4 linked regions of the Alligator mississippiensis genome follow. The protein of the gene in region 1 purifies or fractionates together with the protein of each later gene. This does not show direct contact. Links are inferred from orthologs where the notes say so. Each region holds a gene or a part of one and is shown in the gene's direction. Other genes may lie near its edges.

What was found.
Region 2: the proteins of COPS3 (region 1) and CUL2 purify together in Homo sapiens (affinity purification with mass spectrometry; 5 studies listed by BioGRID and IntAct, counting the BioPlex papers as one, with this or other methods). This does not show direct contact. The link is inferred for Alligator mississippiensis from reciprocal best matches to the Homo sapiens genes COPS3 and CUL2.
Region 3: the proteins of COPS3 (region 1) and BTBD2 purify together in Homo sapiens (affinity purification with mass spectrometry; 3 studies listed by BioGRID and IntAct, counting the BioPlex papers as one, with this or other methods). This does not show direct contact. The link is inferred for Alligator mississippiensis from reciprocal best matches to the Homo sapiens genes COPS3 and BTBD2.
Region 4: the proteins of COPS3 (region 1) and DDB2 purify together in Homo sapiens (affinity purification with mass spectrometry; 7 studies listed by BioGRID and IntAct, with this or other methods). This does not show direct contact. The link is inferred for Alligator mississippiensis from reciprocal best matches to the Homo sapiens genes COPS3 and DDB2.

What each region holds. Positions count from the first base shown.
Region 1 is NC_081836.1:54,423,385-54,431,732, reverse strand, and holds the start of COPS3 (COP9 signalosome complex subunit 3), read left to right. Parts: upstream 1-5,017; 5' UTR 5,018-5,087; coding exon 5,088-5,142; intron 5,143-7,391; coding exon 7,392-7,521; intron 7,522-8,348. UniProt on the Homo sapiens protein: Component of the COP9 signalosome complex (CSN), a complex involved in various cellular and developmental processes.
Region 2 is NC_081828.1:195,034,108-195,041,849, reverse strand, and holds the start of CUL2 (cullin-2), read left to right. Parts: upstream 1-4,500; 5' UTR 4,501-4,648; intron 4,649-4,928; exon of another isoform or gene 4,929-4,946; intron 4,947-5,024; exon of another isoform or gene 5,025-5,107; intron 5,108-7,742.
Region 3 is NC_081839.1:7,379,161-7,386,690, forward strand, and holds the start of BTBD2 (BTB/POZ domain-containing protein 2), read left to right. Parts: upstream 1-4,127; 5' UTR 4,128-4,142; coding exon 4,143-4,504; intron 4,505-7,530.
Region 4 is NC_081825.1:227,870,489-227,878,038, forward strand, and holds the start of DDB2 (DNA damage-binding protein 2), read left to right. Parts: upstream 1-4,111; 5' UTR 4,112-4,228; coding exon 4,229-4,289; intron 4,290-4,577; exon of another isoform or gene 4,578-4,638; coding exon of another isoform or gene 4,639-4,651; intron 4,652-4,867; exon of another isoform or gene 4,868-4,972; intron 4,973-6,544; coding exon 6,545-6,724; intron 6,725-7,550.

The sequences.
Region 1 (8,348 bases):
GCTGACATTTTCAGGCATAAGTCTATCAAGGGGTGACTTGAGTTGAAAAAGAGGGAGAGAGAAGGGGTCATCCAGTCCAACCCCCTGCCTAAGGCAGGACCGTCCCTATCCAAACCATCCTATACAAATTCAGAACCACTGCAGGAGAGCCTTGATTATCCAGACTATTTGGGAAGCGTCAAATCAGTGTTTGGCTCATGAAACATGTATAATGTTTATATTTTTAATATGTACATATTAAGCAAACAGCTATGTTTATAATACATAACTGATATGCAACCTTTTCCAGGGTGGTGATTATTTCAGTCTTGCTCTCAGTCACCAGAAACATTCTCTTCCTTTCAGTCACCGTGATCCCACGCTATGCAGGATGGCAGCTTGTTCTGCATCCTGTTTGGATTAAATAGTTGGGAAGATAATCGGTATTCAGATCATTAAATCTCTACTGTCCAGTCCTCGCAGTATACTGTATGTATCTGTCTTTACCCCTACACTGTGACAAATGACACTCACTGAACCGGGGATCTTGGTAGATCTGCCATAGTAAACAGGGCTAGCGACAGTTTGATTCCCCGCCTGAGCATCCCCAAAGTCTGGAGATGGTGATGTGTAAAGACCAAATCTTACTCTTCAGTATTTCACACGATATGGTCCCAGCTCTGCTCACAAACACCAAGTTGCTTCACACGCTCTAAAAACTCTTCTGGCCTGTCTGAGGCACACGCAGGATCCAGTTGACATGAACTTGTTTGTGTAAGGGATTCTCTCCAAATCTTCTCATTAATCCTTGTTCTAATAATCATTAATCAAAAGTAATCCAAATTCATAATAATATTGTGATATACTTCTGACTTCTGATCCACCCACCAGATGGCTTTGGGATACAGTAAAAAATAAAGCATTTTTGTCATATAAAATGTGTTGAATGCAAACTGAGTTGTAAAGTATATACTTTGATTTGGAGAGTAGATAGATGATTTCACTTGCAGGCCAGGACAACACCCACTTTGTGATTATTGCTAGAACATGGGGTTGGGGTGCAGAGACTTAAACTGCATAAATTTCTAATGCTCCAGGCTAATATGAGTGAAGCTGTTGTCTGACAGAGCGTATGGCTTAAAAAAGGACTTTTAGCAAAAACTGCCAAACCTGAAAAAGCTTTCCATGGCTTTCCATGGCTTTCAGCCAGCATGAAGGATACAGGTGGAACTTAAGTGTCAGGATGAACTAGTGATGAGCCTTAGACCCTTTTTAATATGCTGGTTTGAAGCTGGTCAGGTCAGCAAAAGCCATTGTCAATGATACATGTTGGATGGCTCTCATTCCAGGTCTCAGAAGATAAGTGTCCATATAATTAATATGTACAAACACCGGAGCTGGCCCTAATTGTCACCGTTAGTGACAGCAAAGAAGCTAAGTATTAACAGGACACAACAATTTATGAACCCAGAATTCATACAAGTCGTGGCTGAGCATATGGATGGTAGGCATTGCATCCGGCGGGAAGGCTTCCAGCATGGATACTTCTGTTGTATTTTCTGTGGGCAGAGGTTTTCCTGAGCTCAGGACTGTCAGGGTAGCACTTTTCATCAGTGCTAAACTATCACAGAAATGTTCTTTAAAAAAAAAAAAAAAAGGAAACAGGAGTTGCAGTTACCTTCTGATGCTGACCAGTATGAAGCAGGATTGCTCCTCACATGGGTCCTCATTTGTCAGAACGACTGGGAGACTTAAAGTATGCGAGGGGGCTAATAGGCAGGACTGTGCTCATCCTGGCTAATGTAACCTGCTGGAGTCTTCAAACACTATCTGTTCCACAGAAAGGATATCAGTGGTTTTAATGAAGCAACCACAGTTTCCTGGACCTCAGAAAGACACGTGAAGCACTGGGGCTTTACATTACAACATTACACCCTTTAACGGATTTATCAGCTCTTAGCCCATAAATGAGAACTAAGTTTCGTAACAATGGTGTAAGTGGACACAGAAATATGGGGAGTCCAGACACAGTCATCAATAGACACTAATGCTGATTTTAATTTGGTCTTGAGACTCAAGTTGAGAGTTTACTCTTTGGATACAGAATGCCTAATTCTTTGTGGAAGGACCATGTTCCTTTAGTGTTTTCACAGACCTGAGAAGAGAAACCTGTCATGAAACACGGCTCTCATCTGCAAACCTGTGTGTGTGTAAAGAGATTTTTCAGTATATTCTAGCAAACTTCATGGAATATACATGGTTCTTACTTATACTTTTATATATGTATAACAATGTACCTTATTTTTAGATCCTCTGGGCTACAGGGCTTTATGGAAATTAAAATATAATTTTACCATGGAAAGATTTTAAATAAGATACCTAGGTAGAAAGGGAAGGAATTTCATAGTTATAATAAAAACCTGCTCCCTTTCATTTTGTTTCCCAGAGCAAATTCTCATACAATGAGTTCTGAAGAGAGGTTTTTTTCTTTTAGCTAGCTGCGGTCTGTACATATGCAGAAGGTGGGTTCATAGATTCATAGATGTTAGGGGCTGGAGGGACCTTACAAGATCATCGGGTCCAGCCCCCCTGCATTTGGGATGTTTTAGGTTAGTCTATTCAGAGAGGAAACAAATGTGTAAGGCTGCGTTGCTGACAGACACAGTAACAATCAACCATGAAGAGTGTGTGTATTGTGGTCCATAATAAAAAATGAATACCGAAAGATGACAGTTGGAAGGATTAAGCTGTTAAAGATGCATGAGTGACAAAGATTAGGCAGCTGCTAACATTGGCAAGTGGGGTGAGATATATCAATTGCTGGCCATACTGATACTTTGCACTTCCATAGTTCACTTCCATACTTTCATCTTTGGACGCTACCGTTCTTTTCAAAGGACAACATTATTATTATTATTATTTTTCTTTTACAAAAAGAACCACTGGGGTACAGGAAAGTATAATGCCTCTCCCATGGTCACAGAGTGAGTCAGCAATACAGAAAGGGAACAAAAGTCCAGGTTGTTCTAATCACTAGGTCAGGCTGAATATAACAGAAGGTTGGGAGGGAAGATGTTTAATAGTTTCAAGACTATATTCTCCTCTGACTCAATATTTCATCCCACGTCTGACATTTCTGATAAAACAATGATAGCCCGTGTATGGCTTTCACACTGCAGGGCAGAAAGACCCTGTTCATGTTTGTGGTATATCAGAATACACTGCTTCTGTTCGCACGAACGCCTTATACTTGGCAACTCCTGAATACTGTGCTTCGCAACTTCATGCTGGTTCACATGGTACCGCTCTCCTCTACAGGGTGGAATCTGAGCTCCCATTTATACCGACTGAAGTATTCATGCTATGGTCGGGGGCCAAAGCGTGCCGAATCCTGTCAACAGTGCTGCACACGTGTGCTAGCTGACAACTATCCGCTCACTTGAACTCAGCCACCTTGAAAGGAGTAACTCAGGTAGAGATAACTTGAGCTGACTTTACTATGAGTGGTAGATGTAAATGGTAGATGTAAATATTGCTTTTATTGGTATTTATATCTCAAATAGTAGATGTAAATATTGCTTTTATTGGTATTTATATCTCAAATGGTAGATGTAAACACCACTTTTATTCCAGATACATCTTCTGTTTGTGAAGTAATCGCAGCATTGGAAAACACGTTGAATTTCTCTGCACCAAAAGCTGTGGTAAAGGTGGTATAGTATGTGCAGCCCTCGGCTATTTGCATTGTACGACCATATTACAATCAAGCACTGCAGAAACCTGATTTTTATCAGTGCGAGGCAAAAGTGTCGACAGATAAGTAGGTATCCCTTTTGCTTTCAAGAATGATAGATACATAATTAATTCGTCATTGCGTTTATAACAGTCATTTCAATCAGGAACTCGCATAACTATGCTAAGTATTGTCCAATGTACTCAATGGGCCCAAATCTAGGTGACCACCTGATTGCTTGTTTCTTGAAAAGCTGCCAGAAAATGATGGAAAGAGACGGGACGACGATGGAGCGATGTGCGTGTAGGGTTGCCAAATAGTTTGAATCTATTCCGGGAGATTTCGGGAAGGCCGACATGTCGGCGACACACAACGCAGACGTGCCCGCGTGCTTGTACGTATCCACGATGGATTTTGGTGTGTAGACTTGACGCCAGGAAGGCACAGGCACATTACTATTACATTTAACAAACCCACTGGCCTACTGTATAGATTGGATCTGGGTTTTTGGTCGTAGCCGTGTTGGTCTGAGGACATAGCTGGCGCTTTCGTGGACCCAGCGGGACAGCCTTCCATCTTCAGCTCCCTCTGTGCAAAAATGAAGCTTATTCCCTACCGATGGGGACTTTCCCCAGAGCCTCGCGAAGGGACTTTGGTCCCGAAAGCTTGCAGAAAAGGACAGTTTTCTCACGATTTCCCAGTTGATCTAATAAAAGTTCTCATTTTGGAACCCAGAGTCCTAGTTTTTTGTACGTCTTCCAAGGACATCGGCATTTACTATTTGTGTTAACGAACGCCCGGTCATTTATCTCCCGGGTGACTCTCAGCCGTTTGTCTCTGGGGATCCATGTTTCATTCCTGGAGGGCAAGTGTGATGTCAGAACCGTGACTGAGGCCTGTTGTTGTGGCATGAGGTAGGCATGATGTCAGCACGATGACAGATGCGAGGACCCGTGGACAGGCGTCTGAATAGGGAGAGGGGCCCTGTCATTCCTGACAGCCAGCGCTGCCCTGTGGGTGGGCTGGGGGCCATGTTTGCAACATGACAGTGACGACACAGTGACGTGAGGGCGGCGATGACGACACCACAAGCTGCTGAGTCACCACTCTGCCAAGTAAAATGGCCTCGAGGGCGGGGAGGGGGCGGGGCTGTTTACAAGAGCCGGCGACTTCCGGCTGGCGGGGGTCGCCCTGGTAACGGCGACAGGAGGAGGCCGTGCAGCTCTCGCGAGGCGACGCGGCGGAAGTGACGCGCGCGGCCGCGGGTCTCGCGGCGCCCGAGGCGGCGGGGGATTGGCTGGCAAGGGGCGCGTCGCGCGCGGAGCCTCCTTCCCGCTTCCCCCGGCCGCCCCGGCCGCGCGCCCGAGCCGCCAAGATGGCGTCTGCCCTGGAGCAGTTCGTTAACAGCGTCCGGCAGCTCTCGGCCCAAGGTGACCGGCGGGCGGGTGGGGGCGTGGCGGCTCCCTCGGCCCGGTCTCCCGCGGGGCCGCCCGCCAGCGCGCGCGGGAAGACGGGGCGGAAGCCCCCCACCCCTGGGCCTGTCAGCGCAGCGCTGGGCCCCGGCCGGCTCCCCGCCTGCCCCTTCTCCCACATACCCCCTCGGCTGCGGGGCAGCAGGCTCCGGCCTCGTAGCCCCGATCACCCGTTTTATGGCGGCTGTCGGGAGCAGGCTGTGCACTGTGGCAGCGGTGTTTCTATTTAAAAAAAATGAAATTTCCCCGGAGAATAGCACGCGGGGAAGAGCAGCCCCGTGGCCGCGCCTGGGGTCGTGGTCCAGGCGATACCTTGTAGGGGACCAATGAGATTTCTGCCCAAAACAGTCTTCAATTGCAAACTGCCCGTCAGGCGTGGGAGAAAAGGTGGTACAAGTTGTCCTGGGTGGAAGCGAGCTCGGTGGCGGCCGTAAGATACAAAAAGGCGGTTGTCGATGGGAGGTTTTGTCGCTTCAAACTGGACTTCTCTAGTGTGAGAGGAAAAAAAAGATTTTAATATTAAAATGTGGAGCAGGGGCTCGGACCAGGCCCTTTCCGACCCTGGAAATCTATGAAATATTGTCATTTTTCTCAGTGGTGTCTTTAAGTCTTTTTTTTTTTCCCCTCCCTGTGTGGGCCTAGCGCTCCCGGGCACAGTCGGTGCCGGTTTCTGAGCTTCCCTGTCTCTTCGATTCACTGTTTAACGAGTGGAAATAGATAGCTGCCTTTTCATATTAGCTCGCGTAACATAGTCGTGTCAGACAGGCTTTCTCTTAATTTTTAATTTTTGCCTCTGACTCTTGTTTTTGCATTGGGCTGGAGTTTTGTTTTGTTTTGTTTTCTATTGCTGCACGTTGTAGCTCCTTGCATATAAGGGAGTTTTCTGCAGTGCCCTTTATTTAGGATTTTGTTCACACGAAAGGTTGTCGGTGAAGCTTGTGGATGACGGCAACGTTTTGACTTTTAACTGCCAGCAGGAAAAAGGATCGAAAAACACGTGTTCACGACACGCGTACCGTTATTGAACCTCATCATGTTTTACATTAGTCCGCTCAACAGCTCTTGTCAGCTGGCTGCGGGCGCGAGGCAAGAGTCCCGGAGCCGTGCTGCTTGGCACAGTTGACGCTAGAATCGGTTCTTGATGTCCAGGCCTTTATTTGGACCACACTCGTCTTTGAAAGTTAACCTTTCACTGTTAAACCTTGTTGGTGTTTTATTTTGACTCTGAGGAAAAGGTCAGAGAGAATTTGAGAAGAGCAGTCATGTGTTTCCATTCATGAATAGACTCCTACTCCCAAAGGTACTGGGCGGTGATGCGAAACTGTTTTGTTTACATCTAATCTGGAAGCGTTGACAGCTGAAACAGTGGCTGCATCAGATGCCATCCATTGAAGACCCCAGTACCTTTGAAAACTGAATTCAAGGCACTTTACGAATATAGCATCCGCCTTTTAGTCCTGCCCGTCTTCAGAAATCGAGAAAGCATGCTAGGTCTAAGATGTTTCTTTTCCACATGCCTTGTCAAAAACTCACAAAGACTAAATCACAAGCGACTATATGCAGTATTGTCAGATATGCAAGTAAACTTGGGGGGAAAACAGATTAGGAAAATATATTTTTATCCTAAAGTGTTACTTGGAATTTGTTTTCTAAAAACATTAGCTGGAATACAGCACGTAAGAAGTGCGATGGGCAAACCTGTAAGAATTGCTCGGATGCCCAAGGAGGAAGAAGCTGCCCTTGGACTTTCGTGTGTAGATTCTCCCATTTTCTTAGGTGCTGGTAGGGAAAAGAAAAGATTTAAATAGCAGAGAAACTGGCCAGAGCCTTTTAAATTTCATTTTGTTGCAGCTCATCAAAAACAGAGTAGCTCCTGAGACGCTGGTAATTCTCTCTGCAGACTAGGGAAACCGACTCTGCATTGGTTTATGTTCTGTTATTTGGTTTTGAAGGCTTTTTTGCAGCCAATAAGTCAGATGGGGGGGGTTGGGAGGGGTGTTGAATGATAAGCTATTGTGGGGTCCCCTCAATTGGTCTCAAATTTTGGTTGCTGCTAGAAGACAACTTAGTTGACTCTCTTATTTATTTATTTATTTTTTTTGCTTAAAGGCAAAGCAAGGAGATGTTAAATAAGGGAACGCATGACCTTTCAGTGTGCTTTGCTTGGTGTTGTAATTGAAAATTGACTGCAATATTTCATGTTTTAGGGCAAATGACCCAGCTTTGTGAACTGATCAATAAAAGCGGGGAACTGCTAGCAAAAAATCTCTCCCACCTGGATACAGTGCTTGGTGCCCTGGATGTGCAGGAACATTCTTTAGGGGTTCTTGCTGTCTTGTAAGTGATACTTTTCTTTCTTTATAGGCTTAATTTAGTTTTAACATTGAGAACTTCAGGCAGTGCATGCTGACATGCTACCAAAGGTGTTGCTTTTGGACACTTGCATTTTCATTGTGCGGTTCTTGTAATGTTGCTTAAATTCTTTCCTGTGGCGCATCTTTTGTGAAAATATTAGGATGTTCATGTGTTTCAGCTTTTTCTAATTTCAGTTCCAAAATGGCTAAAATACCATGACTTACAACGCAAATTAAGTTTTTCTTGGCTTTGAGCAAACATCTGTTTCTTGTTACATTTAGGCAGTCTGGATAGACTAATGCTTTTGCCAGTGGTTCAACAAAAATGTCATGTTTGTTTTAATGTTTGATAAATGAGTTATTGACAAGCTGGACTCGCACTGTGAAGCAGGATGTCCCTTTATTCACAGTGTGGCATTGGCTGCTTTTGCAGGTTTGGACAGCTCTTGTCTCCTGCAGGGGAAAGGATAGGCTGGCATTCCGCAGATTGAGATAACCAGTTCAGCTAAATAAATTTTTGGGAGCATTGATGAGTTACTGAACAGAGGTCTCTACAATTTGCACTATTGTTACACTTTTAAAATAATAAATTGAGATGCATTAGAAATTGATTTGTTAAAATAAATTAACTGCTGTTCCTTGGTGCTTCCCTTTGAAACAGAGAATAGTACAGCTCGTATGTGTATGGTACTTCACTTTGTATACTGTCTTCCACAAGCTGGATCCCAAAAAGATGTTATGTAATTAAAAAACAAAAACAAAACAGACCACCTGTGTCAAATCACCAATGGTGAAGGTATCCTGTGGGTG
Region 2 (7,742 bases), on another chromosome or scaffold:
AAAGTAGTCTTGCTGTTGTTGGATAAAGACTCTTGATTTATAGCACATTTTACAACCCAGTATGTTTAGCTTTCTGGTGGGCTGCTAGAGTATTTCCCCTGATCTCTCCCTCCTGACAATACTGAAAAGTGCAATGTTCTCTTTACTTAAACAAGGAGGACTTGCATTAAATTAAATCAAATCAAATCATTATTGCATTAACTAGAGCACAACACATAGAACCTAGTGTTGAATACAGCCAGACTTTCAGAAAACCATGAGGAGGCCCTTTTCATCTGCACAGTCACACCCACTTTTTTGCACACAATAGCAGCAGTTGCTCCACGAGGTGGATGTTCTATCAGCTGAAACTAGATATGTAAAAGGTGAGAGAGGGACTTCCTTCCTCCCAGATTTTCTTATAAAATTTTGTCTAATAATGGAGCTGGAAGTGCAGTATCTGAGCTCCTCTACCACTCTTAGCTGGATGGAGGTGGCGATATTCATTTCCTTGTTTCCTGAGGTTTCTTAGGTGAGCAGCAGGTGATTAGACCAAGGCAAACAAATGTAGCATAGTCTGTTTGGAAAAGATAAATATACTATGTCAGGGAGACTGAACAAATGTATCAATTTCTAAAAGAAAAAAACCTGATAAGTGATGTGTATAAGTATAAGGCTGACCTGGACAGGCTCAGCAAGTGGGCGGACGAGAACCTGATGGTGTTCAACGCTGATAAATGCAAGGTTCTCCACCTTGGGAAGAAAAACCCACAGCATCCTTATAGGCTTGGCAGTGCTACGCTGGCTAGCACTATGGAAGAAAGAGACTTGGGGGTCATCATTGACCACAAGATGAACATGAGCCTGCAGTGCGATGCTGTGGCTAGTAAAGTGACCAAAACGCTGGCTTGCATCCATAGATGCTTCTCAAGCAAATCCCAGGACGTCATTGTTGCCTTGTACTCGGCCTTGGTGAGGCCGCAGCTGGAGTACTGCGTCCAGTTTTGGGCTCCACAATTCAAAAAGGATGTGGAGAAGCTTGAGAGAGTCCAGAGAAGAGCCACGCACATGATCAGAGATCAGGGAAGCAGACCCTACGATGACAGGCTGAGAGCCCTGGGGCTCTTTAGCCTGGAAAAGCACAGGCTCAGGGGTGACCTGATGGCCACCTACAAGTTTATCAGGGGTGACCACCAGTATCTGGGGGAACGTTTGTTCACCAGAGCACCCCAAGGGATGACGAATAGGTTGAACGGTCATAAACTACTACAAGACCGTTTCAGGCTGGACATAAGGAAGAATTTCTTTACTGTCCGAGCCCCCAAGGTCTGGAACAGCCTGCCACCAGGGGTGGTTCAAGCGCCTACATTGAATACCTTCAAGAGCAAACTGGATGCCTATCTTGCTGGGATCCTATGACCCCAGCTGACTTCCTGCCCTTTGGGCAGGGGGCTGGACTCGATGATCTTCCAAGGTCCCTTCCAGCCCTAATGTCTATGAAATCTATGAAATATGTTGGAAAGAAGTAAACTGTAATTGGGTTTGTTTTGGTTAATGAAACACATAAGTACTTCTTGGAAGAAAAATCTAGAATAAAGGTTGAAATCTGGAGAAATTTAGAATGAGGAAAGGGAAAAATCAAGGTTTGAATGAGCCAGTAAGAAGATATTTGAGGGAAAGTAATCTATAAATACAGTATATACATATTATACAAGTATACATAGATTCATAGATGCTAGGGTTGGAAGGGACCTCAACAGATCATCGAGTCCATTCCCCTGCCTAGGTAGGAAAGAGTGCTGGGGTCAGGTGACCCCAGCCAGATGCCTATCCAGACTTCTCTTAAAGACCCCCAAGGTCTTAAAGACCCCCAAGGAGAGCACCACCTTCCTTGGAAGCACATTCCAAATTTTGGCCACCCTTACCATGAAGCAGTTTTCTGATATCTAGCCTAAATCTGCTCTCTGTCAGTTTGTGACCATTGTTCCTTGTTACCTCAAGAGGCGCCCTGGTGAACAGAACATCTCCGATCCCTTGCTGCGTCCCCCTAATGAATTTGTAGGTGGCCACAAGATCACCTGTCAGCCTTCTCTTGCGGAGGCTGAAGAGGTCCAGGTCCCTCATTCTCTCCTCATAGGGCTTGTCCTGTAAGCCCCTAACCATACAAGTGGCCTCCTCTGAATGCAGTACTCCAACTGCGGTCTGACCAATGCTGCATAGAGGGGAAGTATCACCTCTTTGGTTCTATTTGTCATGCATCTGCTGATGCACAATAAAGTGCGGTTAGCTTTGCCGATGATTTCGTCACACTGATGACTCATGTTCATCTTGGACTCCACTAGGACTCCGAGATCCCTTTCTGCTTCTGTGCTGCTGAGAGAATCACTTCCTAGCCAGTAAGTGTGCTGGATATTTTTGTGCCCTAGGTGTAGCACTGTGCACTTGTCCTTCTTGTACTACATCCTACTGTGTACTGCCCACTTTTCTAATCTGTCCAGGTCTGCCTGCAATTGTTCCCTTCCCTCTAGAGTGTGCACTTCACCCCACAATTTAGTAACATCTGCAAACTTGGACAGAGTACACTTCACACCCACATCCAAGTCACTGATGAAGATATTGAAGAGTACAGGTCCAAGTACTGAAACCTGCCAGACTCCACTACCCACCATCCTTCCAGGCTGATACTGACCTGTCTACTACCACTCTCTTGGTGTGGCTCGGTGAGATGTGCCAATGTTCCTGGTGGGACCAAAGCTGGAGGTTCCTGGCTAGAGGGACTTGCCCCTCTGCTCAGGGTCTGGCAAATAGACATGTTTGGGGCCAGAAGGAATTTGACTTCATGGTCAGATTGGTACAGACTGGGGGGAGGGGGTTGCCTTCCTTTGTAGTGGGAGCAGGGCTTTCTTGAGCATATATTAATAATCTTTCACAGAAACAGCACAGTGGTTACTGTGGTTCCCCTGCTTTACCTGTTGCAAGCTAGGGTGTTAGGAGTGTGTTGTTTCAGGGTTGATGGTAGACTGATGGAAAGTTTAGATGATGGGTTGTATGGCATGGTTTGGATAGGGATGATCCTGCCTTAGGCTGGGGGCTGGACTAGGTAACCTCTGGAGGTCCCTTCCAGCCCCACTTACTCTGATTCTGGGAAGAGTTTGCAACATATGAAGAGTAGGGAGAGAGAGGAGTCCCTGGTGGGGGTGGTGGGTGGTATGAAGCTGTGAGAATTCCCTGGACAACAAAATATTCCGAATCCTGTGGAAATGTGAAGCTAAGGGTCTAGTTTAATTGCACATGGGTTTTTTTCTTTCATAAGGGTGCAGGGGGCATGAACCTAGATTCTTCACCTATGTGCAAACTGCAAGCTTGTTTTATTTTCTGTCTCAGTCCTTAGCTCACAGGAGCTGGAAACATGCCTGGTCTAGAAAGGCAAGGCATTGGGGGAGTTGCTTGCAGTGTGAACCGAGGGGATGGGCAGCAGAGGTGGATGCAGATGCTGGTAAGAGACACCATCCTGCCTTCAAGTGCCCTTGGCATATGGCTGTGGCAGGTTGGGTGTTGGGCTGACCATGCTGGTGCGTGTATGGCAAATGCCCATGGGGTGGATGGCAGGTGCCTGCCAGTTGCTTCTAGTGGGGATCAGCCCTAGCTGGGCAACTCCTAGCCCGCATTTACCTGCTGAGGGGGTTTCTTCCTATGTCCCAGCTGGAGCAGTGACATGAGCACTGTATCCCAGGCCACTGTGGCACCAGGCCGGCTAATCCCAGATGAACTAAGCCCAGTGTTGCCAGGTCTTAAATATTTAATAATTGTATTGGAAGCTCAAAATGACTGTATTTGCTGAAAAACTATGAAAATATGCAAATATGCCTTTTTATTTACTTTATATTGCTCACTACAAGTCCCAGCGCATGAGTGAAAAGTGGGTCAAAGTTGAAGCATTTCTTTATTTCAAGGCAACCGGTCATAAGGAAGTGCTAGCAGCAATCCCCAAAGTCAGCTAAGCCCCCTGAGAGGAGTGATTTGGGTTTTGCATATGCTGCATCAGTGAGCTAGCTGCCTCAAAAATTATGACAATCAGGACTCGTAGTAGAGATGGTATCTTGTATTAGACCAACGAGATTTTTGCAAAAAAAAAAAAATCTTTAATTTTTTGCAAACACCTTGTTGGTCTAATAAAAGATATCATCTCTACTACAAATCCTGATTGCCTTTTCCTGTAGATCAATACGACTACAACCTGGATACCTACAAAATTATGATGCGTCTTGAACACTTCTACCGCTACCCATCGCGTGCCAGCCACGGGCTGAAATGACAGCCCACCCCACAACACCGACCCAGCAGCTACTAGCAGGACTCGCGCAGGCGCAGACCACGACACGGAGACCAGCGGCGCATACGCAGGGTGGAGGGCCTGCATGACCTACGCGTCCGCGGGGTGGCGGTGCTGCGCATGTGCAGGCGGCCGCGGCTCTGCCCCGTGACGCCGGCCTACAGGAAGAGGAATTATTTATTTATTTTGCGGCAACGGAAGTCGGGATGAATTTGGGCCCTCCGCGCTCGCCGTAGTGCGGCCTGTACTAAGCCCCTCTCTGCGCGGGGGGGGGCGAGTCCTCGCCCGGCCCGTTCCCTCTCGCCCCGGCCGCTGTCGGGGGGAGCCCGGCGGGCGGTGAGTAGCGGCTCCGGTAGCCGCGGGGACGGGAATGCGTGGAGCCGGGCGGGCGCGGGGCAGCGGCCGGTGATGGCAGCGCGGTGAGGAGGGAGCGGGGCAGGGACCGGCAGCGGCGGGGCCGGCGGCCTTCGCACTTGCGCCCCTGCTGCCGGCGGAGGGGCCTGCGCGGGGACCCCCGGCTCCGCCCGGCCAGGCCCGGCCACTTTCGCTTTCGCCTGGGAGTGGCGGGTGCCTCGGAGCGGGGCTCCCGCCTACGGGAGGAGCAGCCCGGGCGACGCCGGATGCCGCTTTCCCGGTAGGGGAGGCCGCTGCGCCGCATCTCCGCGCCTCGGGCCTAGTCGGGAAGTTTTGTTTGGACTCCTGCTTCCCGCTCCGGAGCCTGTGAAGCACTTGAGCCAAGGCGCAGGCCTGCAGCTTTGCTGACCTTGGGCACGACCAGAAAAGGGGCCGTCTCAGGTTGGCGTCTTGTGGCACCGTCTGGTTTAGATGTACCCAGAGAGGGTGGGTGGCAGCCACAATCCTCCGCCTCCTGCCCGGCCACGGGAGCGGGTAGAGCCGACCGGGAACACTTCAGTGGACCATGCTTGTACAATAAGTGCTGAGGCAGGGCTTCCCGAACTTGTTTTTCCTCAGCATGACCCCATGCATGGCCTCTTGCTCCCAACCCACAGCCCCCACCCCCGGGGTCCCAATTTAGAGTCGCAACCCACAGTTTGGGAACTGCTGTGTTAGGGATCCTTAGTGAGCTTGTAGACAGAGCCAAGATTTCTGTTTAAGCCTTATCTGAAAGCATCCCCAAGTTTTCTAGTGTAACTATGTTACATAGAGATGATTTATTAACTCCTTTTTATTTGTTGTAAAAGACTAGCTTTACTAAAGTACATGTTTGTATATATTTTTATTAGAATTAACCTTTTTTGGAATATTCTAATATTATAAAAACCTAAGAGGGGCAATTGGCTAGTATACTTACAAAATTCTTCCTCTAATTACTTGCAACTTGTGTCCCTCTTTTGGCACCTCGTGTTACTGTCATGTAGAAAATACAGTATTCCTGGATTCCTGAAGCTATTTTTCTTTGACACTATTAATGCTTGTAGTAGAAATGCAATGGTTAGAATGTTTCTAAGTACTAATGGATCATTTCTATTTCTTGATTAAAAACAACAATTAATACTAACACAAGCTTTATTCCTGTTTTATAGAACCTCGTAAAGCACCTTGATGTCACTGCCAAGTTGTGACATGATATGAATATGTAGAGAGGTAGTAGTAAAGTTAGTTTATGCTCAAGAAAGTTCATGCATCTCTGATTTGGTTAGCCAATAGAGTGCATCTCTACTCTGCCTTCTGCGATCATATGGAGGCCATGGATGTTATTGATTTTACTCTTCGATCTGGATTTATGCTTGTGTAAAAAGAAGACTTTTTGATTCCTGAACTGGAGAAACTTAGTTTCATTCAGTTAGTTACCCTGAGTTTGTTTAAAAAAAAACCAAAACCAAGCAAACATATAATATTATTACTTACAAACAGTAGGAGAGTTTTACAATTTAAAAAGGTAATTAAATACATAGGTTTACAATTTCATTTGCATAAATCCACCTGCACGGATTCCCCACTGAGTCCAGAGAGTTTCTGCACAGGACTGCACGATCCGTTTTAGGATCAAAACCTTAATTATAGCTATAAAATTATAATTATGTAGTTGGATGTTTCTCCATTGGACTGTTAAGCAATCCACAATTCTTAGGAGATTGGTTGTGTGTTCCTTCAGTCTTGTACAGGAGGTATCCACTTCTTTAAAATTCTCTGTTACTAGGTGTTTCCCTGTTTTGTATGTCTTTCTGATCTTGCATTTCTAGGCAGAGTTGCTTCCTATCTTCAGAAGATTAACTACTTATTTCCACCTTTTGTTTAGTACATCTTACATCAGGGGCAGGCAATTATTCTGGGTGGAGGATCGCTTACTGAGTTTTGACAAGACATCAAGGGCCGCATGACAGGCAGCCGGGGCAGATAAATATTAATTTTCTAAATTTTTTAGGGGTCCCACAGGCCGGATAGAAGTGCCTGGCGGGATGCATCTGGACCACGGGCTGCATTTTGCTCACCCCTGTCTTGCATAGTCTCCAGACAGGACTATTCTTGTGTGTGCAGTGTTTGTTCAGCATAATAGGGCTATTTTTATGTGTCATGTAGGCATAATGGTGATACAGTCTTCTCTGGTTTTATTGTCAGTCTTTGTCCCTTCTTGTCCCTCTAAATTGCTTGTTACCTCTTTCCTATTTTGTGTCACTTCAAAAACAAAACAAACAAAGACAAGAAAATCCTAGATAAATCCTCTGGGGTGTGATAAAAGCTTACTTTGCTGAGTTGTTTTGCTCCTCCATAGAAGGAGCAGCAATTTCCCACAGACCTCCTAATTCCTAATACTTGATACTTGGTAACCTTCTGAACAGTGGTACCTGTCTTCCTGGCTCTGGAGCCAGTTTCTTCTAGTCATTGGAAGAAACTTTTGCTTTGGTTTACACTTAGTTCACCTTTTTAGAACTTTTTCTTTTCAACTCTACGTCAGACTCTTGTATCAGAGCTTAAATTAGACAAGTATAATCAGTTTCCACATGCAAACAATTCCTGTTTTATTTTTTTATGACTAGCTTTCATTTTTGGAAGAAAGATGATGCTGAAACTGATCAGATCTGAGGTGTATTTAGTTTAATAATGTCTCCATCATTGTCCAAAAGATGTAAAAAGTCTCCAAAATAAGCAGTTATGGGACAACTTTCCTGTACAAGAAGTTTCTTTAATCTCTTATTGGAAGATTGGTAATGGCCTGAAACATGGGGGTTTGTTTTTTCCAAACACTTCAGGCTTTGTATCCCAATGTAACTTGATGTTCTCCTTCATGAAAATGTCAAGCTCCCTTTATGAATCAAACTTTCTCCTATTGCAGAGTTTTATGGACTACTGCTTAAGTAACTTAATTGTTGGTTCAAAACTTGCTGGTTCAAACCACTTGCATTTTTGTTCTTAGTGTGAGAAAATGAACAGGAATGCTCTGCCTGTCTTCTCTAAATAATTTGTATGT
Region 3 (7,530 bases), on another chromosome or scaffold:
TGCCACACACTTTTTGTTCAGTGTCAGTATATGTCACACAGCAGGATTAAACAGCTACTCCTAAATGGCATCAAACCACTTTAACCTTGCTGGACATTCATGCCATTGCTGGACTTGACTGGTTTTTTAGACATCAGAACTTTAAAAACGAATGTGAACAGAAAACGGTGGAACAAGAAATCATCCGCAGACTGGATTGCTTTAAATTGAGACTACAGAGTTTTATCCCTTTATCTGGATTAGCTTTTATAGGCCCGACCTCCCTCTGTGGGTTAACTCTTTTGGCTTTCCCTCTCCTACTCACCTTGCCTTTCTCAGAAGTGCCCCTACTGTTTCATCCCCACGTCCCTACCCTTTGTATTCAAATCACTGCTTTTGTTTAGTAGCTCGGCTTTCTGCAGTCCCTTATTCATAGATTCATAGATTTTAGAGTCGGAAAGAACCTATTAGATCATCAAGTCCAACCCCCTGCCCCGGGCAGGAAAGAGTGCTGGGTTCAGATGACCCCAGCTAGGTGTTTGTCCAATCTCCTTTTAAATACCTCCAAGGAAGGGGACAGCACCACCTCCCTTGGAAGCGTATTCCATATTTTGGCAACCCTCACTGTAAAGATTTTTTTCCTGATGTCCCATCTAAATTTGCTCTCCTTTAGTTTGTGGCCATTGTTTCTAGTGACCCCGATGGATGCCCTGGTAAACATCATATCCCCTATTTCCTGCTGTCCCCCCCAATGAGTTTGTAGACGGCTACAAGATCACCTTTCTCTTGCGGCTGAGAGGTGATCCTTCACAACCTCTGATGAAGAAAGGCTTCTGTTTAGGAAAGCTTATACTATAATATACTTCTCTGATTTAGTTAGTTTATAAAAGTGAAAATCTACCCTGTCTTCCGCCTGATACAGCTAACTACCTCTCTCTGAAATGATACTGCCACAGTATTCCTTGGCAATAGCTGCTTGTAGTGATGTCTGTCTGAAACGCCTAAGCCACACCGTTCTTGCAGCTCTGGGCCAATACAAATGCCATGTCAGGATGTATTAGGCAAATGATAATGAAAGCCATAGGAAAACAGTACAGGAAGATAATACATCCCCGGGGGCTGAGCAGTTTCTGAGCCAGTGGAAGCAGGGATCTAATGCACGGGCATACACATCTGAGGGTAGAATAGGTAAGAGAGGTGAGCAGGGAACATTGATCACATCTTGATGAATAATAAACCACCCTGCTTTAATAGTTTGGCCGCTGAATTCAGACCTGTGCAACTGTCTTGTCTCCTAATGAATTTCTCCACCCATCCTCTGCCTTTCAGATTCATCCTGACCTTCAAGCCATTTTCTACCTAGCAATAACAGCTGGCTCCAAGACAAAAATCTGTTGTTATCTGCCAGTCAGTGCCCACAGCCTGCTGTTATCCCACAGGGCAGCAAGGAGCAAGCTTGCTAACATTCCCACTGGGAGGTTTGAGGGCCACAGTGAGATGGCAGCAGCATGTGATTAGGGGAGGTACCAGGCTGGTGTGAAATACCCTTTTTCCCACAACAGCTGTGAAGCTTGGAAAATTGTTTGGTGGGGGGACAGGGTTTTCCAAAACGATCACTGTGAAGCTGGCTTGCATCTGCATAGAGGTGTAGTTAGGTGTTAGTCTGCAGTCAAGGAGCAGGCAAGATAGATTTGCACCTTATAAACTAAACAAAGTAGAAGTAAATGTATATTATCACAGGCTTTGGTGAGCTGAAACATTTGTTGAAGTGAACTTGAAAGCTTGTGCATGTGTTCTCTCTCTATGGGTCCTGCCACTTGTTCAAATTAAAGCTGGATAGAAACCTGCTAGAGTTGTTACACATTTTCAAGCGCTAACTTGGTAGCTGGTTGACTCTCTTTGTACCTGGATGGGCAAGTGATAATAACTTTGCAAGTGAAGGTGGTCTAAATTCATTGCGCCATTGACCAGTTAATTGCATGATAACTACCTTACATCTGTGGCCCATCTAAATTTAGTGCACAATTAATCAGTCAGTAGTGTAATATCTGTACATGTAATGTGTAGCAGGGTCCTACAGGTACACAATCATCCACCTGAAGGCTGTGCTGTGCTTTGCATGCCATAATCCCATGCCAGTGCTGGATCAGAGGCCACATATGCAGATCCCAGCAGAGGGCACAGTAGAGTTGCACCTTAGATACTAACCAAGCTAGATATCTAGATAGATATGTGTGGGCATCTATATCTATACTACACGTCTACTTTGGTTATATATAGTAGATCCAGAGATACCTAGTGAGACAACATATACTACACGTATAGATCTACATTGGTCTCCAAGGTGCAACTCTACCCTGCTTTCTGCTTGCAGATGCACAGGTGGATCCTGACCAGCCCTGGTAGGGGATACTCAGGTGCCAAGCTGCTCCCCGGAGACTGCCAGCAGAAGGCAAGCCGAGGCACCGCCTGTGCCCACCGGTCTCTCAAGCTGCTCCCTCCCCACAGCCCCCCACTCCCCTCCAGGCCTCTGCCCTGCCAGCACCCCAGGGCACTGTCTCCCTTGCAGTGACCTGCACCTGTGTCCTCCCCCCATGCAGCCTTGCCAGCTCTTAAATATGAAATCATCATATTGGAAGCTCAAAATTCTTGTATTTGCTGCAAAACTATCATACACTGACCGCCCCCCCTGCAAATAAATAAGTATGCACATAAATCTTATTTAACTCTGCAGTGAGTAAGTGAGAACTGGGTCATCCAAGCAGAAGCATATCTTTATTTTGAGGCAAGTCGTCATAAGAAAGTGCTGACGATTCTCAGTGCCAGGCAGGGGAAATACCAGGTTCACCATGGTGGTTTTCCTACTGACAGGGGATAACCATGAATGTGGCACGGGGGTAGTACCCTCACCGAGGCAAGGCATGGTTAGCCTCCCACTGTCACTTCCAGTGGGAAGATCTCTGCTACACGCCGACTTCATGGAAATAGGAGACGACTCCTCCCTAGCTTGTTTCTGCCGCCGTACGGCTGAGGACAAGCAAAACTCGGGGCATCCGAACCCGCAGCCTCTGGGCTCAGGCCTGCACGTAGGACGCCCGCCAAAGGATTTGGAAACATCTGAAGCCCCAGTCGCGGGTGAAGGGTGCTTGCCAGTAGCAGGGCCACACACGGCTCCTGAACGATTCACGTGGATTTGGGATTGGTTTGGCCGACTTGACTTGGGACATGAAAAGGGGACTCTCAGCGCCAGGGCTGGATTAACCCTTTAGTGGGCCCCAGGCAAGCACGCTCGTGGGCCCCCAGCCGAACTTTTTCTATTACTTTTTTTCACTTAATAATCGTAATATGTAAAATAAGCACAACCGGGCCCCTTCTTCACTTGGGACAATAGGCACGTGCCTCGTTCGCCTACGCACCGCTCAGAGCCGCTTGGGGTTGGCATCCGCCGCCTCAGAAACGATCCCGTGAAGCCATCATGAGTTATCTTTCTCTGCAAGCTTTTGGCCACACGCGGCCTGCTTGAAGCAGTCTTTTTTTGCAAGCTTTCGGCCACACGTGGCGTCCTTCAAACGATCTATTTCTGTAAACTTTCGGCCACACGCGCCCTTCAAGCTTTTTTTTTGTGCGTGCAAGCTTTTGGCCCCCCGCGCCCATCTTCAAGCGATGTTTCTGGCCCCCCGCGCCCTTCCTCAGGCTCAGGGGCACGGAAAGGCGGTCGTTTGCACCATCTTGCATTTTCCCTGAGCCCGAAAGCTGGCAGAAAGGGATCATTTTTGAGTTTATCTTATTTTTTTTTAAGGTCAGTGGGGCTCATCGCTTTTTGCCTCTGCCAAACAAAAAATAAATGTAAAAGCAATGAACATTTTGGGCGCTCCGAGCCTGCGCGGTGCAGCGCCGCGACCCCATCACGCCTGAGGGGAGCCCGCTGCTCCCGTCGTGCCCCGCGCGCCGCGGCCCCGCCCCCTCGGCCGGCGGCCCCGCCCCCCCAGCGCCGCGGCCCCGCCCCCATGCGCCGCTGCTGCCCGGCGCTGTGCGCGCGCTGCCCCCCCGCCCCGCAGGGGGCGCCCCCCGGCCCCGCCCGGCCGCCGCTGCTGCTGGTGCTGGTGCTGTTGCCGCCCCGCCCCCCGCCCGCCCCGCGCGCGCCTGCGCCTGCTGCGCACAAGATGGCGGCCGGTGGGAGCGGCGCGGGCCCCGGGGGCCTGTCGTCCTCCTGCCCGCAGCCGCCGCCGCCCCCGCCGGGCAACGGCGCCGCCGCCGCCCCGGGCCCCCCCGCGTCGCCGCCGGGCCTCACCTACAACCAGTGCGGCGCCGCCAACCCGGCGGCGGGGGGCGGGGGCGCGGGCCCGGCGGCGGCGGCGGCGCTGTGCGGGGCGGGCGCGCTGCAGCGGGAGCCCGTGTACAACTGGCAGGCCACCAAGCCCACGGTGCAGGAGCGCTTCGCCTTCCTCTTCAACAACGAGGTGCTCAGCGACGTGCACTTCCTGGTGGGCAAGGGCCGCGGCTCGCAGCGCATCCCGGCCCACAGGTGCGCGCCCGCCCCCGCCCAGCCGGGACCCCCAGGGTGGGGGTGGGGCCCTGTGCTGAGGGGGGAGGGGGCTGTGTTTGTGGGGGGCAGGGGCAGAGCCCCATGTTGTGAGGAGGTGGCCCTGTGCTGAGGCCAGGGGGAGACCCCCATGTCGCAGGGGGGAGACCCCTGTGCTGAAGGCGGGTGGGGGGGAGCTGAGGGCTCCTTGCGCTGAAGCATCATGGCTCGCTTGAGCTGCTCTTTCTGCCTTGTGCGGGCTGCCGGCGGGGTGAAGGGGAAGCGGGGCCTCGCAGGCTGGAGCGGGTCCCCCCGCTCGCTGCCCTGGCGTTCTCCTGCTCACTTTTTTTGCTTTTATTTTCCCTGTTTTCATCCCTCCGGCTTAGCTGTCAGGTGACCCCTCCCGGGGCGTGCCCGCGGGTGGGAGACGCGTTGTCTGCCTGGAGACCCGGGCACACGCGCAGAGCTTCGAAGACGTAGGTTTAGCCTCCTGCGGTGTGAAACCCTGTGGGATGCGGTGGCAACACGCGGGTGCCGTAGCGGAGCTAAAACGCTAACGTGATGCCCCTTCAACTCTTTTGGCTCACGCGGCTCTTAAGTTTTTAGTACTGGTGTGTACCCCTGCGTTTCCAAGTGATAGAGAATTAAAAACAAAATTTGGTCCCCGCAGATGTGATGTCACCTCTACAGCAACTGAAGGAGAAAGACTGTAGACTTATTTTCTTCCTCCCTCTAGTTCCCTTGTACCCGTTGACATTTCCCTTTCCCTTGTTCTGCTTTCTTGTTCCTCTCTGTAGATGAATGATTCTCAACCGGGGCAGCATGGCATCCTGGGGTGTCCTGAGAGCCTTTTGAGGGTACAGCAGGGTGCCGTGCAGTGTTAGCCCTGTTAGGTGTGCAGACACAATTTTCAAGATAAAGGCAGGGATTTCAAATGGGAATCCAGAGTGTTTAAGAATATGCTGACTTGTTGTGGTGTTTCGGTGTTCCTTGCAGAATAATCGCTCTATTCTTCTGTAGTCAAAGCACAAGTGAAAATTAAGAGCCAGTATTTTCCAAGGGATGCCTGTCATGTAAAAAGGTTGAGAAATGCTGTTCTAGACCAGTGGTTTTCAACCTTTGTTCGTGTGTGGACCCCTTAGGAATTTCTGAGTGGAGGTGCAGTCCCGTTGAATGGTACGTGTGGGTTTTCACAGACTTTTGATTGATCATAGTCATCTTTTGCAGACCCCTTAGACGTAGTCCACAGACCCCCAAGGGTCCATGGACCACAGGTTGAAAACCACTGCTGTAAATGTTTGCCATTTACTGTAGCTTGACAAGCGCTGCGCTAAGACCGTGGCAGTCTTACTGTGAAGTGTAAATCAAGCTTCAGCAGGTTTGAGCAAGGGCTGCTTAGGTCTAATGTGCAAAACAAGATAAAGTCACAGTTTAACAGCAATGTAGATCTGTTTCAGAGTTAATGCTTCTGGTTTAAACACTCTTGGAGATTTTGGGGACTTGTTAAATACTTGACCTTAGACAGCAGTATGGCGCTCTCGCTACACTTGAGCTGTAGAATGGGTCTAACTGTTGCAGTTTTCTACCTTTGAGGAAAAGAAAAAATGTCATTGAGGAGTGAGCCATCTTGTTTTGATCAGCCTGCAGAAATACAGCAAACTAAATAGTTGGTGGATTATACTTTGAAGCAGTCCCAGATTTTATTTTTATATGTACATATGTACATACATACATATTTTCTTCTAGCATCAATGTGTTAACCTGTATCTTCGATGAGCAATGAAAACTGTGTGTTGGCTAACATGTAAAACATCTAAGTTGGTATCTATTTCCTTCTTTTTTTTTTTTGTTTTAAAGAAAGGAAACAGCAATGATTTTTCTCTGAAGTGGAGCTTGAGCTATTTCTAAAAAACTGGTTAAGGCAGAGTGGGATGTACAACTAAAAAATCTGAGCCTAGGAAAGAAATAATATTTTCAACTGGATATGAAACAGTTTAGACAGTTACTGTAGTGATACTTACTCTGTTCACCCTTAAGAAATTGTAGTTCCCAAACTGCGTATCCCTGAAGAGTGTGAAATTGCCTTGTTTTCAGTAATACTCATTTGGTTAATATGACGCTGCTGATTCTTGTGGCAACTCCTTTTAAATATAGGGGTGCATTGATGGACATCATTTGTCATCTGCTGTTTGGGGGGACATCTGATAAGTTTCTTTCAAATGACCCATGGATATCAGTGCCCCTTATATAACCACAGTGACCAGAGCAGCCAGGGATTCATTGAATTTTTAAGATAAAAAGTTTTAAGTGGTGATTTACCAAGGCATTCTCACTTGGAACTTATTATCGTATTTGCTTTATCTAAAATATGCATGCAGTTACCTTGACTAGAAACTTTTTTTGTCAAGTACATTGGTTTCTAGTTTCTCATTTTAACGAAACTTCTTCTGTGGTATTAGGAAAATAGGAGGATTTTTGTGTTGCAGTTAAGTGCCCTTAAAAATAAGCTTGAAAACACTAGTGATATTTGAGTTGATCACATTCCTGTTCTGCAGTTCTGAATGCACTGCTAACCAGGCAGTGGCAAGTGGGGAGGGGCACTTAGCCAGGAATAGGTTGTAAGGAACTTTTTAAAACCATTTTCTTGATTTCTGAAATCCACACGATGCTTTCTGGTTCATGGAGAGCATACCAGAACGCATTATACTATGACCCAATGTGTGTACATTTTGTAGATTGTATTCAGACTTCTGGTTCTCTGATAACTGCATTCGGGGATATTTTAGTAATTCATGAAGCACTGAGCGGGTTTCAGAAAAAAAGTACTTTTAATTTTAAGGAATACTTTGTTTCTGCAGCAGCCTGGCTAGTAGATGGCATTCAGCATTCAAACTGAATTAATTTGCTTTATGGTTGGTTGATTTGTTTGGAACAGAGCCTCACAGCTGGGCTAGTTGTTTGTTGGTTTTTGTTTTGTTTTTTTTAAAAAAACCCTCTACCAGGGTGTTAAAGATGTACTGAATATTCAA
Region 4 (7,550 bases), on another chromosome or scaffold:
GCAAACTAGTGAAGAGAAGATTCAGGTTGGACATTAGGAAGACATTTTTTACAGTAAGGGTGGCCAGAATCTGGAATGGGCTTCCAAGAGAGGTGGTACTATCACCTAACTTGTAGGTCTTCAAGAGGAGGCTTGATAGACACCTGGCTGGGGTCATCTGACCTTGGTCCTCTTTCCTGCCAGGGGCAGGGGGTCAGACATGATGATCCTTTGTGGTCCCTTCTGAATCTATTAATTAAAGCACAAGTGTAGACCTGCCCGCTGTGTCTTCCCACCAAAGTTTCCATTTCTAAACCAGAGTTTGGCCATGATTCAGCATGAAGTTAAGGGAGTGAAAGGTCCATGCTGGGCCATTTTCCTGTCACTTGCTTCTAAATTATTAGAGGATCAAACACCAGGATCAGTTATGGACTCACAATGACATTTATTCAATCAAAGTAGAAAGGGAAGATTGAAACCCCCACAGAAGGCAGGCAGGAAGGAAAGATCACTCGTAGCACTGACAAATCCACTCCATGACTGTTGGGCCTGGTTATTCAGAGTGTATTCTGGGACCATTTGTTTTTTAATTGCTTCCAGTTCCTGGGGAGCAAAAGTGATGAAGCACCCAATGCCCTTCTGAGATCTGAAGCCTTACTCCAGAAAACATAAGCAGATGAGTGAGAGGAAAGACTAATCAGTGTGTTCATATTGTAATGAAGGCAAGAGGAAAGAAACTAGTAGACCTCTGTAACATAATGTGATGCTCCACCATAGTTCATGTCACTTTCAATACATTAGTTCAATTAACAATTCGAAGTGTGAAAAAGGAAAAATCTCAGCAGTCAGAGGCAGATATTGTGTATCCAGCAACTGCCCAAGACAAAGTTTCATACCATGTGTGAGGTTTAGTCTCCTGTTTCTGTCTCTGAGTCACTGATGTCATGCTATGTTCTCTCTAATGTGTCTTTCCTTTCCTCTGGGAGGAAGGTGTGGCTCATAAAGGACAGAGTGTCCAGGTAAAGAAGGAGATAAGTAGATAATGTTACCTTCTTTCTCTCAGGGCAGGGGCAGCTTGATGGGAAAGATCTTGGGATAGGAGGAGGTTCAGTTTTGCTAGGGTTACGCAGTTTTTTTCCCTAATGTTTTTGGTTTGTTGGAATTCTTAATTGCTTCCATGTCCTGGTGAGAATCAAGTTGCTCAGATGTTACACTCTTTAAAATTACAAGAATAAGTACAAACTAATATAGTCCAAGAAAGCAAAACCTTCCATTAGCAAAGATCCAGGCACTGTGAAGCAAAAGGCCCAATTACCTCTACATATACCACCAAATCAGGACCCTCCCTTATAATATTGCTACCCTCAAAGTACAGAAAGGGCTTCAGTCATGTTCCAGATACTTTAACCCTGTCCAAGCAGAATGAAGTGTTAGACATGTCTAAAATTGTGATTGCTACTGGGCCTGTGACTTGTTTGAATTTATACCATCACTGGGACCCAGTAATACAAGTAATAACATTATTATATTAAAATTATTCTTTCCTGTTGTCTTCTGACTGCATAAGGGTTTCTCAAAAGCTTTTATCTTTCAGGTCTGTTTCTTTCTGTGACTTGCACAACATCCAGCACAGTTGGCTCTTAACAAATTATGTAAGAATGGTAATTGCCAAGGTACCTGTTGAGTTTCCAAAGGGAAAATCAGGACAGTGTTAGTGTTTGATTTAAAAAAAAGCCCCTCATGTTTGTTTAAAGATTAATTAATCACTTCCACTCTAGTTAGGTGGAAAGTCCATAGGTTACTGTGCCTAATCTCTTCTGGGCCACTTTCCGGTTAACACCTCAGGAAGGTGAGCAGGATAGGAAAAGGGAGTTTCACATCTTAGCTGGAAACAACTTTCTGCAAAGTTAGCACAACAGGATCACAGTTTGTTCTTTACTTTGGGACTGTTTCATATTCCATTGAAGTCAATGGGAATTTTTCCATCTCATCCCTACCTTTTCAGTGGAAAGGTAAGAATCTATATTTTTTTAATTCTGAGGAAAACAGTAGAGGTTAAGATGGAAGTAATATAATCAGTACTTTTTGCTATCTATTATTTAACTTTACAGGTTCCTCTTTCCTTTGTAGTCTCTAGGAAACTGTGAATACTGCTGAACACACTTCCCTTTCCTGTATACAGTAAGAAGTCTTTTCCCCCCGTTAGGTTCCTGAGGGATCTAGTTTAACAGGTCCTCGGGATTTCATGAGTCTTGTATCCTGATGACAGATGCTAGTTTGAATGATTATGAATTGATTCAGCACTGAAAAGGATGCTGTGTTTTGGGTTTTTTTTTTGCAGAAGATGATTGAAAATTATGTGCAGAGGCTGACATATACAATAATGTAGTGGGAGCTAAGTGTTTTCCATGGGTGGGTATAGTTTTTCCCCACCTAATAAGTTGCTATATCCAATATGTTATGTTTGTCATATAGGGTGTAAGTGACTGATGCAACATTATTATATTCCAGTAGGAAGAAAAATATTTTTATCTATACATAGGTGTCCATTGCAGCAATAGTATCTTTTGAGAACTGCACACACAGATATCGTAGGATTTGTATGTATAAGCTGGTGGTAGGGATGACTATTCTGAATGGTTATAGGAGTAGCATGTTAAGGACCCACCAAGGTGCAGTGCAAAGTAGTGATAGCTTAGGTCTGTTTTATCCTCCATTGCTGCATGTTGTAAAGTACCAGTTATCAGTTCAGAGACCAGAGAATCCTAATGGTCTCTGAAGTGATCTTGCAACTTGAATTTGAGCTAGACTGCATCTTGTATTTCTTGAATTTGCTTTAGCTACATTCTAAATGCATGTTTTTCCTTGATCTCTAATATGCAGCTGCAACTTCTTGTGGATGTTTCTAACATTTTTCAATTTATGTAGTACAGTTCTTGGTTACTATAAAGCCCTTTTTGGACCTCACCAGACATCTATTATTAGTGTTGTTGTTGTTTAGGTTTAGGTGACACAAACTTCACAAATCAACAGGCTTAACAGGTCTGGATAAACATGGTTCCCTTGTAGTAGTGTGGCAGTTGACTCTGAATTAATATACCTTACTCCTTCCCTCCCTACTTCTGCCTGGCTTAGACCATAGTTTCTCAACTTGTGGTACACATACCCCTGGCAGTACACAAGACACAGGCAAGGGGTATGCAGGTACCCCAACACTATCTCTTTCTCACCTTCTTTTCCTCTCTCTCTCTCTCTCTTTCTTTCTCTCCCCATCTTCCTCTCTCTCTTGCCCCTTCCTGCTCTCAAAACTATGGCAAAAAAATTGGAATAAAAAAAATTGGAATAAACTCCCCAATAATAATTTGGCATGCCATGCTTTGTGCGGCACTGGGTTCAGCCTTCCTAGCTTTGGCCAACATCACCTCTAGCCCAGGTACATACTTGAGTTGTGCACCCCTGGTGTAAAAGGTGGCAACCCTACCCACACCAGATCAGACATCTGTCATATCATGGCCTTATATACACAGCCCTTCTTCCAACACGTTAGTCTGCAAATATAAAATCCCTGGGAAAATTGAGTGTTGGGGTACTCATTAAAATTTTCAGCAGTCAGGGGATACTTGCTACTTAAAAGGTTGAAAATCACTGGCTTAGACTACAAGCAGAGACTGTTTTTGAAAACAACCCTAGAAAGTAGTCTTGTGAGGGTCAGATAGCTCTGTGTGGGAACACTAACTGAAGCCCATACCGACATCACAAAATTATATCCTATGCACCCGTTTATCACTCAAACAAAAAATAAAACCGATAAACAAGGTTGTCTAGGAAACCTACATTTAAGAACCTGATAAATTGTTATCAAATGATATGTCAGAAGCTTTCTGTAAACTTCTGTGTGTGACCAAACTGGTCTTCACATATAGGCCTAGGACAGTGATTCTCAGTCAGGGTGCCACGTATCCTGGGGTGCCTTAGATCCTTTCAAGGGTGCCACGGGGCACCACACAACGTTAGTACTGTTAGATATGCAAACACGATCCACAAAATAAACCCAGAGATTTCAACTAGGAATCCGAAGTGTTAAAATCATTCTGCCCAGGTGTGGTCTTTGTTAGTTCTTTTCAATGGCAGAACAGCTCTCTCTCTCTTATTTTTCTGTAGTTATAAAAAACAAGGGAAAAATGGCCACTGGTATTTGCCAAGAGATGCCTTGAGGCTATCAGGGTTGAGAACCACCAGCTTAGAAAACATGTTTGATAACAGGCTGCTTTGCTGGCCTCCTTTTCCTGTCGAGATTTGGGGCTGTCCAGGTAAGCATTATTGTGGCAGGGACAAAACCTTGCTACTTTCTCTTTGATTTCTCTCCCTAACACAGCTGCCACGGGGGTGCTTGTCAGCGCAGCTGCCTCAGTGACGCTGCAGAGTTAAGACTTCACTTTTTAAGGGACGACTTCTTGTCTTCAGCAAGAGCCAGAGCCTTCCCATGCCTGGTCATGGTCCATCTTCACAGTCCTGCCAAGAGTCACACAGATGTTGGGCACTGCGCTCCCTGCTGAGGCGAGAGGGCTGGCGTAACCCCCCCTGGGCTTCCAGCTTGGCTGCTTAAATGAATCCTTGCTCACGTGAGCCCAAAGCAGTGGCCGCAGAGCTGGCTCGTGCATGACAGTCTTAGGTAGAGGTTTGGATGTACAGTTGGGATAGGGCTGAGCCTGCCTCAGGCACGGGGGGCTGGACGAGACGACCTGGAGGCCCCTTCCAGCCCGGCTTCTCCGTGACGAGGAAGGACGGGCCCTGGGCCGTGCAGGGGAGCCAGGAGGCCCTTCGCAGAGGGCGGCGCTGCAGCAGGCGGAGGCGTAGCCCGGCGCGTCGGGGCCTGTTTCCTGCGCAGCCTCACGCGGCAGCCCCGGCCCGCGGCTAGAGCGAGGCCGGGCGGGGAGGCGGGGAGGGCGCGCTGCAGCCGGGCGGGCGGGGAGCGGAGGCCGCGGGAGCCCAGGTGAGGGCCGCGGGGAGGGTGGTGCCGGGGCTCTGGCTGGTCGCGGCCCCCCGCCCGGGGCGCCAGGGCCCGGGGCAGGTGGATGCGGCGTAGCTGGGGCGCCGTCACTGCCTCCCGTGCGGTCCTCGGGCAGCGCCCCGGGGTGCCAGGGGTCCCTTTCCAGGCTGCGCCAGCGCCGTGCACCCCATAAGCCCAGAGACGCCCCTGGGGCCCGCAGCTCTGTCATGCTTCCGGCCTCCAAAAAAGCAAGTGAAAGCCAAGAGCTGGCACTTTTCAAGGGGGCCTCAAAGGTTTCGAGGCGCTGGCGCTGGGAAGCGTATGGGCAGGTGGGGCTGGGCCATCCCTTCCCTGGAGTTGATTTGGTGCCAACCAGACTGGCCCTCAGATGCCGGCACTGGAATAGCCTCCAGGGCTGTGGGTAGGGGTGGCCATCATAGAGGACAGTCTGGTTATCCTGTGTTCTCTGTTGGTACAAAACCAGATGCCTTTATGTCCTCTGTTTTTTCTCTTGAAGAGAAAAAGAGAGGGCATGAAGGCGTCCGGTTCCGTATCAATAGTGGACAGAGTAGCAGAAAGCCGGAACGTCCTCTGTGACGGCCACCCCAGCTGCGGGTGAGGATGGGCAGACGGCAGCAAGGCTGTGCAGGCGTGCTGGATAGGCTGGGTGCTGCCAGAGCTACGTCAAGCCCTGTCTGGGAAAGGTAGAGGGTGCGCCAAGCCAGTTCGGGGATGCTATATGAGGAAGCTTGCTTGTTGCCCACCTAACGCCATTTGGCGCTAGAGAGTTGTTGGTGACATTCATTCACAAATTAAAAATAAAACAGCCTGTTACAGTATCAGCTAGTTTCCATGGAGGGTACTTGAGATTTGCTGCTGACGTTTTCTGCTTCGTACGCTCCTATACTAGACCAAGGAGGAAGGCTGAGTAGGAGGCTCTCCACTTTGGACGGAAAGGATCACTTTGAAAACCTAGTTCAGAGCGTTACAACGTGGGGTCAAATTAATTCTGTCCCAACATCTCTTTGTAAATGATCCAGAAAAGCATGAAGTCTTCCAGTATTTGCTGTGTCACTACAGCATCTAGAAGCATGATCTAAGAGTCCAGGAGAGTTGATTGCATGTGTTCAGAAGCTATTTTTCAATGACAGTGCTTGATGAGGCCGTGTTCTAATTAAGCCACAAAAGCACTTGGCCTTTTCCCTAGCTGAGCCTGACCAGAGATATCATGAAGTAACAAGGGCTTCTGCAAAGACTAGTGTTGCATTTTAAAGTTGCACAAATGTGCTTCGTCCGGATTAGTAAATTTTAAACTCGGTTATTTTGTAAAAACAGATTTGCTAGAACAGATAACCCAGTGCTTTAAGAGCCACACATTTTCACAGAGGCACAAAGTGCAGTTTATTGAACCGTGTTTCCTCCTCACATCATTGGATGCAAAAAGCCAGCGCTGCAGTGATGAAGGGTAGCACAAGCATAGCCTCATAATCAGGGCACATTACACTGCAGTTCTCTTTTTTAGCCATAAGCAGTGACAATTACAGCTTCCTTACTTTGTTTGCTTTTTCTGCTCAGACAGAATGGTCCCTGCCAACCAGCCGAAGGAAAAGAAGCACATGAAGGCTCATGAGCATCAGCCAGAGGAAGAGGCAAAGTCAGCTGAGAAAAGGAAACGAGAATCTGGAGAACTAGAGAATGAGCCACAAGCAAAGAGACTGTTTGTGAGAAAAGCTATGAAACCCCCAGAGAATACAGGTATATCTCCCTTGGGCTCTCATTTTCTTTTTTGCCCACAAGGCCTAATTTGAACAAACTATCAGCCAAATCTTCAGATAGCTGGCATAGGAAGATATCAAGGAGCCAACAACTTGTTCAGACAGGAGCATTGGGATTGGCTTATGTTTCTACATGAGGGGTGGATAATATAAATATTTTTCCCCCAGTAATCTGTTTAGAGACTGCAGTGAGCTTGCACATATAGCATTTTCTTGAAAGTCACAGCTCATCACTATAAAATGGGGCTCAAGGAAGTTTACATAGATTTAGCTTTGTGAAATTTTTGAATGGCTGAATTTTTGCTTCCTTGTAGGCAGGCAATCCTGGTAATAGTTTTTTTTTCATGTTAATTCCTCACACTGTTTCATAACTGACAGGTTAGTAATACACACCATGCTATTTACACCAGCCTTTCCACCTGGATATCATGCTGCAGCCAACAGTAAGCTGTTTCATAGAGCTGGGTGCCAGTTCTAGCCAGGTGCTACATTTTTCTGCCGCTATTCTTTAAGGTCCTGTCCAGAGAAACAAGGGCTAATTCTTTTGTGTTGATATTCAGTGATCAGTCCCAGGAACCTTTGTAGACTTGCATTAAGGACTCTGTGTCTCTATACATTCAGGGCTGTCACTCTTAAGCTATATTTTGCTTATGGGATCTCCAGAGATATTTATTTTTCTAGAATGTTTGCAAGACATCCATTCTAGGAACTCAGAAATGATTGAAGAAGAACAGCTCCTTTAATATCTATTGGGTGGTACCCTGAGCAATACAATAGTGCTGGCAAGTGCTTTTCTGCTTTACCTA